Macaca fascicularis: one gene and its partners. The protein of the gene in region 1 interacts with the protein of each later gene in a biochemical or structural test. Links are inferred from orthologs where the notes say so. Each region holds a gene or a part of one and is shown in the gene's direction. Other genes may lie near its edges.

What was found.
Region 2: the proteins of WWP2 (region 1) and CDC34 form a complex in vitro, tested with the Homo sapiens proteins (2 studies listed by BioGRID, with this or other methods). The link is inferred for Macaca fascicularis from reciprocal best matches to the Homo sapiens genes WWP2 and CDC34.
Region 3: the proteins of WWP2 (region 1) and DVL2 form a complex in vitro, tested with the Homo sapiens proteins (2 studies listed by BioGRID, with this or other methods). The link is inferred for Macaca fascicularis from reciprocal best matches to the Homo sapiens genes WWP2 and DVL2.

The regions. Positions count from the first base shown.
Region 1 is NC_088394.1:65,910,761-65,914,271, forward strand, and holds part of WWP2 (NEDD4-like E3 ubiquitin-protein ligase WWP2), read left to right. Parts: intron 1-286; coding exon 287-408; intron 409-3,511. UniProt on the Homo sapiens protein: E3 ubiquitin-protein ligase which accepts ubiquitin from an E2 ubiquitin-conjugating enzyme in the form of a thioester and then directly transfers the ubiquitin to targeted substrates.
Region 2 is NC_088393.1:1,084,397-1,088,676, forward strand, and holds the start of CDC34 (ubiquitin-conjugating enzyme E2 R1), read left to right. Parts: upstream 1-1,475; 5' UTR 1,476-1,647; coding exon 1,648-1,824; intron 1,825-4,280. UniProt on the Homo sapiens protein: E2 ubiquitin-conjugating enzyme that accepts ubiquitin from an E1 ubiquitin-activating protein, and catalyzes its covalent attachment to other proteins by an E3 ubiquitin-protein ligase complex. In vitro catalyzes 'Lys-48'-linked polyubiquitination.
Region 3 is NC_088390.1:7,281,077-7,285,025, reverse strand, and holds the start of DVL2 (segment polarity protein dishevelled homolog DVL-2), read left to right. Parts: upstream 1-1,144; 5' UTR 1,145-1,399; coding exon 1,400-1,593; intron 1,594-3,949. Other genes in the region: PHF23 (PHD finger protein 23), read left to right, coding at 1-34.

The DNA.
Region 1 (3,511 bases):
TGAGGGGGTTGTAGGAGGTACAGATTCCCGGTGGCACCTCCGACTTTTTCTGCCTATGGTACCCAACGTGCCTCTCTTTAGGCGTTCCTGCACCATTGAGCTCATAGAGCGTTCATTATTAGCTAGAGGGTTACAGGGTCAGCTTTTGTGGGGGAAAGGAAATATGTGGGTGTCTGCCTGTTTTGGTTCCCCCTCCCCAAGATGTCAGCAGTTTAGTTTAAATGTTTTCTTCTAAGTTATAGGAATGATCTGCTTGGATGTAATGAATCCGGTATTTGTTTTCCAGGAATGTCACGGCCCAGAGTCATTTAGATTTAAAGGTCTGGAGCTGCCATACCTTGAGAAATGAACTGCTAGGCACCGCGTCTGTCAACCTCTCCAACGTCTTGAAGAACAATGGGGGCAAAAGTACGTATGATGAAGGGGGTGCCGACGTGATTCATTGATGGGGATGGGAGGACCTGGCACATCAACCTGGTGTTGCAGTTTCCCCCAGGACTGGGGCTGCGGTACCTCTGTTCTCCTTGGATGCTGAATTTGGAGTTTTAGGAAGGCTGAGGGCTCCTCTCTGCCTCCAGTGCAGAGTTTAGCCCTCTCTGTCCAGGGCCTGTAGCAATGGGATGCAGTGGTGTGTTGCCCTTGACCCTTCCTTAGGGACTGGAAACTTTCTGTCTGCCTTTGCTGCTCTTCCCGTTGCAGGAGATGTGTGATATGTTGAATGAAACTGTCAAATGCCTCTAGCCTAAATCATTGCTTTTCTAGCCTCAGCCCTAAAACAGAACAAAGGAGCTGTGTATATACGTATATGTGTGTGTGTGCGTGCCTGTGTGCGTGTGTGCACGTGTGTGTCTGGGATAGTTTTACAAATAGTGCCCTGTGCTTACTTGGCATTCAGTAAACATTTACTGGATGTTAGAACGTGATGGACGCGCCATCTGAATTAGCCAACGTGCCTCTACGTCACAGACATATAAATCCTCATCTATTTATTGCTGTTTGTGGTCAGTGGCATGGCCCATGGCTGTGGTATTGGACCCTCCTTCATAAGGCCTCTATTCAGAGTGGTACCATATGTGGCGAATGAATGGCATGTTAAGAAAGGCTCCTTTTTCTCTTGATGTCTAGAAAGTATTTTCTGAAAGTGGATGTAGCTTAAGAGAGAAGTGGGGGCAGGGAGCATTGCGTCCTAGCGAGCGTGTTGCATTCATTTAAGAGTCTTTCTTTTCTCTCCAAGCCTTTCCTTTTAAGCAATGGGCCACTTGAAAGGTCTTTGAGCCTCCTCTGGTCTTTTCTTTTCTGCTGGGCACATGGAGATGTGCTGAACCGATTCTGGCCCGAGGAACTGTTTAAAACCAGAGATGTGCCTCCACTTTAATCCTGCAGAGAACTCCCTGATTGCTTTGTCTTCTGAGTTGGTGTTTATTTTCCCAAACCCTAGCCAGCCTTTTGTAATTTGATCATCAGGGAGAATTCTATTTATTTCAGTATTTGGAAATCTACTTGTGGATAGCCTCACATTAGGATGCAACAACCAGCATGAGGGTCCTTTTTTCTTCTTCATTTGCCCAGCCAATATGCTTTTCCTTTCAGTTAGCAAAAGTCCTCGGAGAAATTGTGAGCTACAGAAAAGCACATGGATACACAAAGAAAACAAAATTTGCCCATAATCACAGTACCTAGTAATAGTTACGGTACTGTTTTTTCTTTTCTTTCTTTTCTTTTTTTTTTTTTTTTTTGAGATGGAGTCTTACTTTGTTGCCCAGGCTGGAGTGTAGTGGCACAATCTTGGCTTATTGCAACCTCCACCTCCCAGGTTCAAGCAATCCTACTACCTCAGCCTCCCAAGTAGCTGGGATTACAGCTGTGTGCCACCATTCCCAGCTAATTTTTGTATTTTTAGTAGACATGAGGGTTCACCATGTTGGCCAGGCTGGTCTTGAACTCCTGACCTCAGGTGATCCGCCTGCCTCGTCCTCCCAAAGTGTTGGGATTACAGGCGTGAGCCACTGTGCCCAGCCTGATAGTTATTCTTAATATTTTTTTAAAAGCAATTTTATGGCCGGGTGTGGTGGCTCATGCCTGTAATCCCAGTACTTTGGGAGGCTGAGGTGGGTGGATCACCTGAGGTCAGGAGTTTGTGACCAGCCTAGCCAACATGGCAAAACCCTGTTTCTACTTAAAAAAAATACAAAAATTACCCGGGGATGGTGGTGGGCTCTGTAATCCTGGCTACTCAGGATGCTGGGACAGGAGAATCGCTTGAACCTGGGGGGTGGAGGTTCCAGTGAGCCGAGATTGCACCATTGCACTCCACCCTGGGTGACAGAGCAAGTCTCAAAAAAAAAAAAAAAAAAAAAAAGAGGGATTTTACTTTAATTAATTAATTTTTATTTTTATATTTTATTTATTTATTTTTTGAGACAGGTTTCTCACTTTGTCACTCAGGCTGGAGTGCAGTGGTGCGATCTCGGCTCACTGCAGCCTCTGCTCCTGGGCTCAAGTGATCCACCCACCTCAGCCCTCGCCCCCTAGTAGCTGGGACTGCGGGCACACACCACCATGGCCTGGCTGTATTTCATATTTTTAATAGAGAGTAGGTCTCATTATGTTGCCAGGATGGTCTGGAACTCCTGAGCTCAAGTGATCCGCCTGCCTTGGCCTTCCAAAGTGCTGGGATTACAGATGTGAGCCACTGCGTCTGGCCAATTAATTAATTTTTTTTTTTTTTTTGAGACGGAGTCTCGCTCTGTCGCCCAGGCTGGAGTGCAGTGGCGTGATCTCGGCTCACTGCAAGCTCCACCTCCCGGGCTCACGCCATTCTCCTGCCTCAGCCTCCCGAGCAGCTGGGACTACAGGCGCCCGCCACCGCGCCCGGCTAATTTTTTGTATTTTTAGTAGAGACGGGGTTTCACCGTGGTCTCGATCTCCTGACCTTGTGATCCGCCCACCTCGGCCTCCCAAAGTGCTGGGATTACAGGCGTGAGCCACCGCGCCCGGCCCAATTAATTAATTTTTAAATTGAGATGGGATCTCGCTATATTGCTCAGGCTGGAGTGTAGTGGCTGTTTACAGGCATGGTCACAGCTCACTGTAGCCTCACACTCCCAGCCTCAAGCCATCTTTTGCCTCAGCCTCCGGAGTAGCTGGAACCACAGGCGTGCATCACTATTCCTGACTATTGTTAACATTTTGACGTATACATTTTTGAGCTTTTTATCTTTTAAATAATTTTTTCCCCTCAGATCCTTGTTCTGATCTTCTTTTATGTTTGTAGACATATATTGATGTTTATGACATCAGTGAAACTAAATTGAGGTTATACATGAATATATTTTGCAATATGCCTTTTTCTCTTTAAAAATGTATCAATATATCTTTGTTTTTATTTATTTATTTTCTGAGATGAAGTCTTGCTCTGTTGCCCAGGCTGAAGTGCAGTGGCGCGATCTTGGCTCACCACAACCTTCGCCTCCTGGGTTCAAGCGATTCTCCTGCCACAGCCTCCCGAGTA
Region 2 (4,280 bases), on another chromosome or scaffold:
CCTGGTCCCCGCCTGTTGTTGATGCAGCTGTGTGTACCCAGGACATAGCAATAATGCCACCAGCACAGTCCGAGGGCAGGGCCACCGCAGTCACGGGCACCACTCAGGGGAGGCTGGGTTGCCCTGTCCTCAGCATGGCCAGTTCTCCCGACCAAGCTTCAGGGCAACGAGCATGCGGGTGTCTGGGCAGCCACTCAGCCAGGTCAGAAGTCAGGTGGGGTCAAGACTCTGGGGGGCCGGGCACGGTGGCTCATGCCTGTAATCCCAGCACTTTGGGAGGCCGAGGCAGACGGATCACTTTGTTACTCCAAACTGCACCCTCCCCTTCCTTCCAAAACCTAACACACTTAAGGTCAGGAGTTCGAGACCAGCCTGGCCAACATGGTGAAACCCCATCTCTACTAAAAAGACACAATTAGCCGGGTGTGGTGGCGCACACCTGGAATCTCAGCTACTCGGGAGGCTGAGGCAGGAGGCTCCCTTGAACCCTGGAGGTGGAGGCTGCAGTGAGATTGTGCCACTGCGCTCCAGCCTGGGCGACAGGGCGAGACTGTCTCAAAAAAAAGACTTGGGTGGGACAGAGGTCAGGCTGGGAGGAGGGCACAGCCAGGCTCAGGCTCAGCTTGGGGTGGGGGCTCCGTGGGGCTGGCGCCTCTCCCGGGTCAGGTGCTGAGCCGATGCTGGCTGGGGGGAGCCTCTTTCCCAGTTTCTCTGGGGGGCAGGAGCACCTTGCCAACCTCTGATGGCTCCAGCACCTGCACCCGCCTCACACCACATGGTGACTTCAACGGGGGACCAGGAAAGCCCTCGCCCCCTCCCGCCCTCAGAGCCCTCCCCGACCTCGCCCACTTCTCAGAGCTCCCGCTGTCGGGGGAACCGAGGCAGCGCCGCGCCTGGAAGCCGGGTCTGCACACCCCGCCTCGCTCCCGCTCCTCCCCTCCGCGAGGCCAGCGCGCCCCAGGACAGACTCAGCGCCCGTCCCCTGTATAGACGGGGAAACGGAGGCGCGGACGCGGGGTCGCGCCGGGGGAACCGGCCCTGCCCCTCCGGCCCCGGTCAGGACCTCGCCCCGCGCCCCGTTCACCGCCCGCAGCCCCGCCCCACGCCGGGACGTCACAAAACGACCCCAAAGCTGGGGGACCGGGCCAGCCACGGCCAGAGCAGCCCTGCCCGCCTCCGTGCGCACAGCGTCCGCGGTACTGGTCGAGCTGGGGGCGACGGCGGCGGCCTCGGGGATCGGAAGCGCCCAGGGTTGCGCGCTCGAACCCTCCCTCCCGGCGGCGGCGCTCGGCGCGGTAGGCGGAACCGGGACCGGGACTCCACTTCCCGGCGTGCCCCGCGGGCGGGCGCGCAGGCGCAGGTCGGGCCTGGCCGCGGCGCGCAGGCGCAGTCGGGGCCGGGCGGAGCGCGCAGGCGCAGCGGGGGGCGGGGCGCGCGGGCCGGGCCAAGGCGAGCGCTGGTGGGGCGGCGGCGCCAGAGCTGGTGGAGCGCTCGGGGTCCCCGGGCGGCGGCGGCGGCGCAGAGGAGGAGGCAGGCGGCGGCCCCGGCGGCTCCCCCCCGGACGGCGCGCGGCCCGGCCCGTCTCGCGAGCTCGCGGTGGTCGCGCGGCCCCGCGCGGCGCCGACCCCGGGCCCCTCCGCCGCCGCCATGGCCCGGCCGCTAGTGCCCAGCTCGCAGAAGGCGCTGCTGCTGGAGCTCAAGGGGCTGCAGGAAGAGCCGGTCGAGGGCTTCCGCGTGACCCTGGTGGACGAGGGCGACCTGTACAACTGGGAGGTGGCCATCTTCGGACCCCCCAACACCTACTACGAGGGCGGCTACTTCAAGGTGAGCGCGGCGACCCCCGCCCGGGTCCCTGAGCCCACGAGCGACCTCGGGCGCCAGGAACCAGCTCCCTGCCCCGCGGTCCCCGGGCGGGCCCGGCAGCCTCCTGGCTTGGGCTCGCTTCCCTTCTATGGCCGGGTCTCCCCACCCAGCTGTGCCCGGCCCCCTCCTCGGACGGTCCCGGGGACCTTCAGCCTCTGCTGCGGTCCCCGAGAATTCTCAGTTTCCTTGAAGGCACCGTCCGGTCCCCGGGTAGTCTCCTGGCCCGCAGAAGGGTGGCCCGGGGCCCTCCCGGTATCATCTGCGCGTGGGGCTCTTGCCCACCTCCTTCCTGGGGGGGGCTCGACCCCGGCTGCCTCCCCCTCCGCCCTTGCGAGAAAGAGGGAGCGGAGCCCAGGCCGCCCCGGCCTTTCTGCTGCCCTCCCCGCCCTCCCCGGAGGAGACAAAGAGGCCCCCCCCAGACCCCGCAGCTGCTATTGTTGGGGAGCTGGGCCTGTGAGCGGGGGAGCGAGGCCAGCCTGGGGGTGGCTGGCGCGGCCACTCGCTCAGGCTCCAACAAAGGCCCGGATGAGCCTTGGCAGCCGGGCCCTGCCTGGAAAGCGGCCACCCTTGCCGATAGCAGCCGGCCAGGCGCCCTGGGCTCCATCCCCGGGTTTATGTAACCTGCGCCCTCGGGAAGGCTGAGGCAGGGGCGTCCCTCCCACCTGCTCCCTGCAGCTCTCCCCGGGCCCCCGGCTCCGGCCCGCGTCCCGGACCCCGACCTCAGAAGCTCCGGGCTGCTTCATCCCAGCTGGCCTTGGCCTTTCTCAGATTCCACTGAACAGGTGGCTTCCTGTGACCCCAACCCCGAGTTCTGGGCCATTCCTTCTGCCCTCTGGCGGTTTCATTCCAAGCAGGTTCTTGATGTTTTTGTTGCCGTTGGGAGCAGGGAGACTGTTTCTGTCCAGTGTGGAAAGGACTCAGGCCAAAGCCTGGCCAGTTTTCTTGATCTCACGATCCAGACGTGACCTTTGGCTCTTGTAGAGTTCCAGGACCTCGTCCTTGGGGCCAGAGGGACAAAGTGAGGGGCCCCGTGTGAGAGGTGGGGATCGCGCACCCTGTCCAGGAATCCCCCCTCCCGCTGTCGCTGCCTGCCAAGAGCCTGGGCACAGCCGGGCCTGCTCTGCCCCGGCCAGCTGCGGGCATGGGGCCGAGGGACCGATGCCTCTCAGAGCGTGTGCTCTCCGGGCTAATTAATGTCTGAACCGCGCGCGCTCAGCGGCTGTGAGGGCAGCAGCCTGGTCTGCTGGGGGCGATTCCTGAGCTGAGGTTCTGGGTTACGGCAGAGGGTGGGACGTCCGTGGGTTGTGCATCTGGAATCGTGGGTCCCCACACAGGGAACAGAGTTTGAGCCTTGAGGTTGTCAAATGGTTTTAGCAGCCCCCTCCCCCAGCCCCTTTTTTCTGCTTGGGGGAGCAGCTGGCTGTGAGCAGGGGCGGCCCCACCTCGAGGCCAGGCCTGTGAGGCGGCTGCTGTTCTGGAAGGAAGGGATGCGGGTTCCTGGCTCCTGCCCACCAGACCGGTTGCCAGGGATTGTGGGCAGAGCCTCCTGGACCAGCATTAGGGGATAATCCGGTTTTCCGGATTTCCTGGGGAGGGGGCCTCTAGACATCTGCCGCAGGGTCAGTCCTCAGAGGCCAGCGTTGAGACGCGGGGGGGTGCTGCCACCCACCGGGGCTCTCCCTTCCCCGTGTGCCTGGGAGGGAGTTGGGGGAGCGTGGAAATACAGGAGCTGCTGAGTGCCCAGGGCCACCGCTGCTGCCCAGCCACTGCCTGCAGCCGCTGTTCCTTCAGGAGCCAGAGCGAGCCCTGGGGCAGGGGCCACCAGAGAGAGCCCTCCACGGCGGACTTGCCGTGTGCCATCGGCGGGGGCTTTGCTTCTCGGAGCCTGGGTTTGCTCCGGGTAAAAGACATGTTTGGAGGTGCTGAAAATAAGAGGTTTGTTGGGACTTGGTGGGGTTCGGTGCAGGTGAGGCCGCCTGGAAACCCAGCACCAGGCTTGGGGGGCCCGGAGTCTTGGGGAACTGCTGGGCAGTTCTGAGCCTGAAGTTCCAGCCTTGCTCTGTGGCTGTGGCCAAGTCCCTTACCTCATGGGGCCCCAGTGAGTTCCCTGTCAAACAGAGGACACCCCCAAGACCCCTGAGAGCCCTCCCTGTCCAGGAAGGACCTCGCCAACAACTGCTCTTTGGGGGTGCTGCCCTCAGCCTCTTGGAGTGCTGAGTGCCACCAGGACCCCTGACCCAGACACCCCCGTGCCTGGCACTGGGGCCCAGGAAGGAAACAGTGAGGCTTCCTTGTTTACCTGTTGGGGCCCAGGAGGGCCGTGGGTGGCGTCACGCCCCAGGCCGCAGGCCAGACAGCTCTGTCACCGGGCACGTGGCTGCAGTCCTTCCTCTGTGGCCGTCCTTGCCAGCAGGCCT
Region 3 (3,949 bases), on another chromosome or scaffold:
GTTAGGGGGGCCTCCCAAATCTGGAGAGCCCTGACGGCACCAACTTTAGCCTGGAACTTCCAAATGATAACATGATTTGGGAACTGAGCCTCAGGGTCCTCAGCCTACCCCCTGGAGCTTGGATACTGTCCGCACTTCAAGGCAGGAATTCCCAAGGGAGACTTGTTTGAAAATGAGTGTCTCACTTGCCTACCCTATCCGTCCTCCCCACTCTGAACTTGAAATTGAACCCATTACGGTTGCGGGTGGGAGGCTGTCTGTGTCTCTAGACACATAATCTCTGTCTCTTGGACCTGCCACCATCACTTTCTGGGTCAGGATTGGAATTGGGATGGAATGGGACAGTTGTCTATAAAACTCTAGTGTAAATATTAGCACTCCCCTCCCTCATCTTTTCTTCTATTTCACTCCCCATTTATTTTCTTCTACACCGGTTGTATTTTTAATTTTGGACTTCCCCTACTGGGCATGGCAGCTCAAAGGTGGAGTACTAGAGCCTGGCCAAGCAAGGAAGGAAAGCAGAAAGGTGACGATTCTCACTCACCTCTTTTGTTTTTAATAATATTGGCCGCTGTTTGTACAGACAGCCTGCGTGTTGTAAATAAAGCAGAGTGGGCTCTTTTGTGTTTATAGCCCTCACTGTCCTGCTTGGGAGGGAGGCTTTGGTGGCTGAAGACTAGCTGGACGTGGTGCTGAAAGCCACCTCTCACAGTCCAGTCTGAAGATGGCACAGCACTGGGCCTCTCCCACCCCAAGATACTTGAGTAAGCCACCTCAGAGCTTTCATTGTATTTGGCCCTCCCCACTCGAGTCTAGGAACCCCCACAATCCCCACCTTCACTCCCTGCACGCACACTCCTGAGGGTCAGAGTTGCTTCGCGCTCCCGCCGGTGTGGGGTAAAGCCGGGTGGGAGCCGACTGTCCGCTTCCTGAGGGCACAGGCCAGCTTATCCTGGGTGCTCCGAGGACCTCGGCTGGGGTACACCTTTGGGGGCTGGGAGACCGTTGCCGAAGGCAGCGATCACGTGGCGGGGGCACTAGGAGGAGTCACGCGGTCACGTGACTGGGAGGGGTCACGTGACGGGGGCGGCTGAAGAGCGCGGGGTGGGCGGGCTTAGGTCACGTGACATGAGGAGAGGTGGGCGGGGACCTGGAGGACGCTCGCGTTGTCGGTGGCGGTGGCGCGCGGCGGCCGCTGAGACCGCGGCTTTGAGTCGCACCTCGCGGCCCGCCCCCCGCCGCCACCCTTGCCGACCCCTGCTTTTTTCCCTTTGCTTCTCTCCAGTACTGGGTCCGTCCTGTCCGCGCTCGCTCGTCGGTTTGCGGGTGTGCGCAGGCGCGGCAGGGGCCATTAGCCCCTTGGGTGGGCGGTGGAGCCCGGGAGCGCGCGGGCGAGACCATGGCGGGCAGCAGCGCTGGGGGCGGTGGGGTTGGGGAGACGAAGGTGATTTACCACCTGGATGAGGAAGAGACTCCATACCTGGTGAAGATCCCTGTCCCCGCCGAGCGCATCACCCTCGGCGATTTCAAGAGCGTCCTGCAGCGGCCCGCGGGCGCCAAGTACTTTTTCAAGTCTATGGATCAGGATTTCGGGTGAGCGCAAGGCCTAGATAGGACCGACGGGGGCTTTGCTAGAGTGGATTGGGCGACGTGGAGGGGCACACATCTACTTCGGGCCACACTAGGATTTTCTGGCCTGTGGTGGAGCAGATTGTACCATGCTGAGGTAGGTTGACTCTCCCAGGATGGACAAGGTTATGCTTGGATAGATTGAGGCACACGGGCAGACTAGGATATCCTAAACCAGATTAGAGACGATTAGGCTCTACTGGAATAGGTGGAGGCATACTGGTTTATTTTGGAGTGTTTTAGACTGTACTGAGTAAATTCATCTATCGTCTGGTCGTTTAGTACGTTCTCAGGAGTCCTGTAACGCCTGTAATCTCAGCACTTTGGGAGGCCGAGGCGGGCGGATCACGAAGTCAGGAGATCGAGACTATCCTGGCTAACACGGTGAAGCCCCATCTGTACTAACTAAAAATACAAAAAAATTAGCCGGGCGTGGTGGCGGGCGCCTGTAGTCCCAGCTACTTGGGAGGCTGAAGCAGGGAGAATCGCTTGAACCTGGGAGGCGGAGGTTGCAGTGAGCCGAGATCGCGCCACTGCACTCCAGCCTGGACGACAGTGCAAGACTCCATCTCCAAAAAAAAAAAAACACCAAAAAACAAAACAAAACAAACTTGGGCCATTATGGACTCTACTGGGCTGTATTGGTTAATCCTGGTTTATCTTGGGGCAAGACATGGTTTTATTGGAGCACTCAGTATGGGGGCAGACAAGGCTGTTGGTGCCCATGCTAGTACAGGTAGCTGTATTGGGGTATTCTAGTCTATATTGGTGCAGACAGCTGCGTGTGGGGACATTGTAGGCTGTGCTAGAATAGATTGGGCTATCCTAGGGTAATTTGGACATTCAGGGCTATCTTGGACTAGATTGGCATGTAAATAATGCAGAGAAAGCCCTTTTGTGTTTATGGTCTTTGGGGCTGAGCCCTCTCTGGGTCCTCAACCTCTGCTTTTTTTTTTTTTTTTTTTTTTTAAAGACAAGAGTCTCGCTCTGTCGCCCAGGCTGGAGTGCAGTGGCTGATTCTCGGTTCACTGCAAGCTCCGCCTCCCGGGTTCACGCCATTCTCCTGCCTCAGCCTCCCCACTAGCTGGGACTACAGGCACCCACCACCACACCTGGCTAATTTTTTGTATTTTTTAGTAGAGACGGAGTTTCACCGTGTTAGCCAGGATGGTCTCGATCTACTGACCTCATGATCGGACCGCCTCGGCCTCCCAAAGTGATGGGATTACAGGCGTGAGCCACTGCGCCCAGCCCAACCTCTGCTTTTTTGAAGGCAGGCTGGATTAAGTTGAGATAGCATGGGTTTTAGAAGAACTGAACAAACTGGACTCTAGCTAGAAAGATTGTTTGACATGGGAAGGGTGATACTATCTTGGGAGTTATCTTGGCTTTAAGTCAAGGTTCTTCTAGTTGTCAGCAGTGCAATCTTGGACAATTAATTTAAATTTTGTGTCTTGATCTCGTCTGTGACATGGAGAAAATCACAGAATGAAATGGTTAGTTCAGGTGTGTGGTACATGGTGAATTCTTGGTGAATGGTAATTGTCATTAGTATTGAGGCTGACTACTCTATAAAGGTTATGGTGATACACAGTAATTTGTCTTAAGAGTGGACTGAGCTATGCTGAGATTGTGTTATGTTGGGAAGAATCCTACATGATGCTGAGACAGATTGGTAGTGACTGGGCTGTGTTGTCACATTGACAGCAAATGGATTAAGTTGATATATATCCTGGCTCTTATGACCATATTAGGCTAATGGGTTAATTAGACAAGGTGTCCTAATTTGGCGGCAAGGGTGTGTGTGGAAAGAGAGAGAGAAACAACCAGGGCAGAGAGTCTGATGCTTTATATGTTTATTCATTTAGTTGACAGTATTTGTTAATGCCTAAGTGTCAGTGTGTGGTGTGTGGCCAGGACATGGTGTTGATCAGAGTAAGTGTTCATGGTTTGATGTCGTGGTCAAGAAGAAGGGGCAAGTCCAGTCCACCACAGGGAACCCATTGGAGAGATGACCCCAAGGCTGGGCTTTGGGATCTGTCAGGCTGAGCAGATTGCTTCGTGCCGAATTTTGTGCCAGATGAGGCACAGGGGAATGGGAGCGCCAGCTTGCTCTCTCCTTGGGAGCTTTCAGTCTAATGAGGAGCTTCCATTGTTTGTTTGATCTAATGGTGGGTGGTTTTGTTTTTTGTTGTTTTTTGTTTGTTTGAGGTGGAATCTCACTCTGTCGCCCAGGCTGGAGTGCAGTGGCGCAATCTCGGCTCACTGCAACCTCCGCCTCCTGAGTTCAAGCGATTCTCCTACTTCGGCTTCCGGAGTA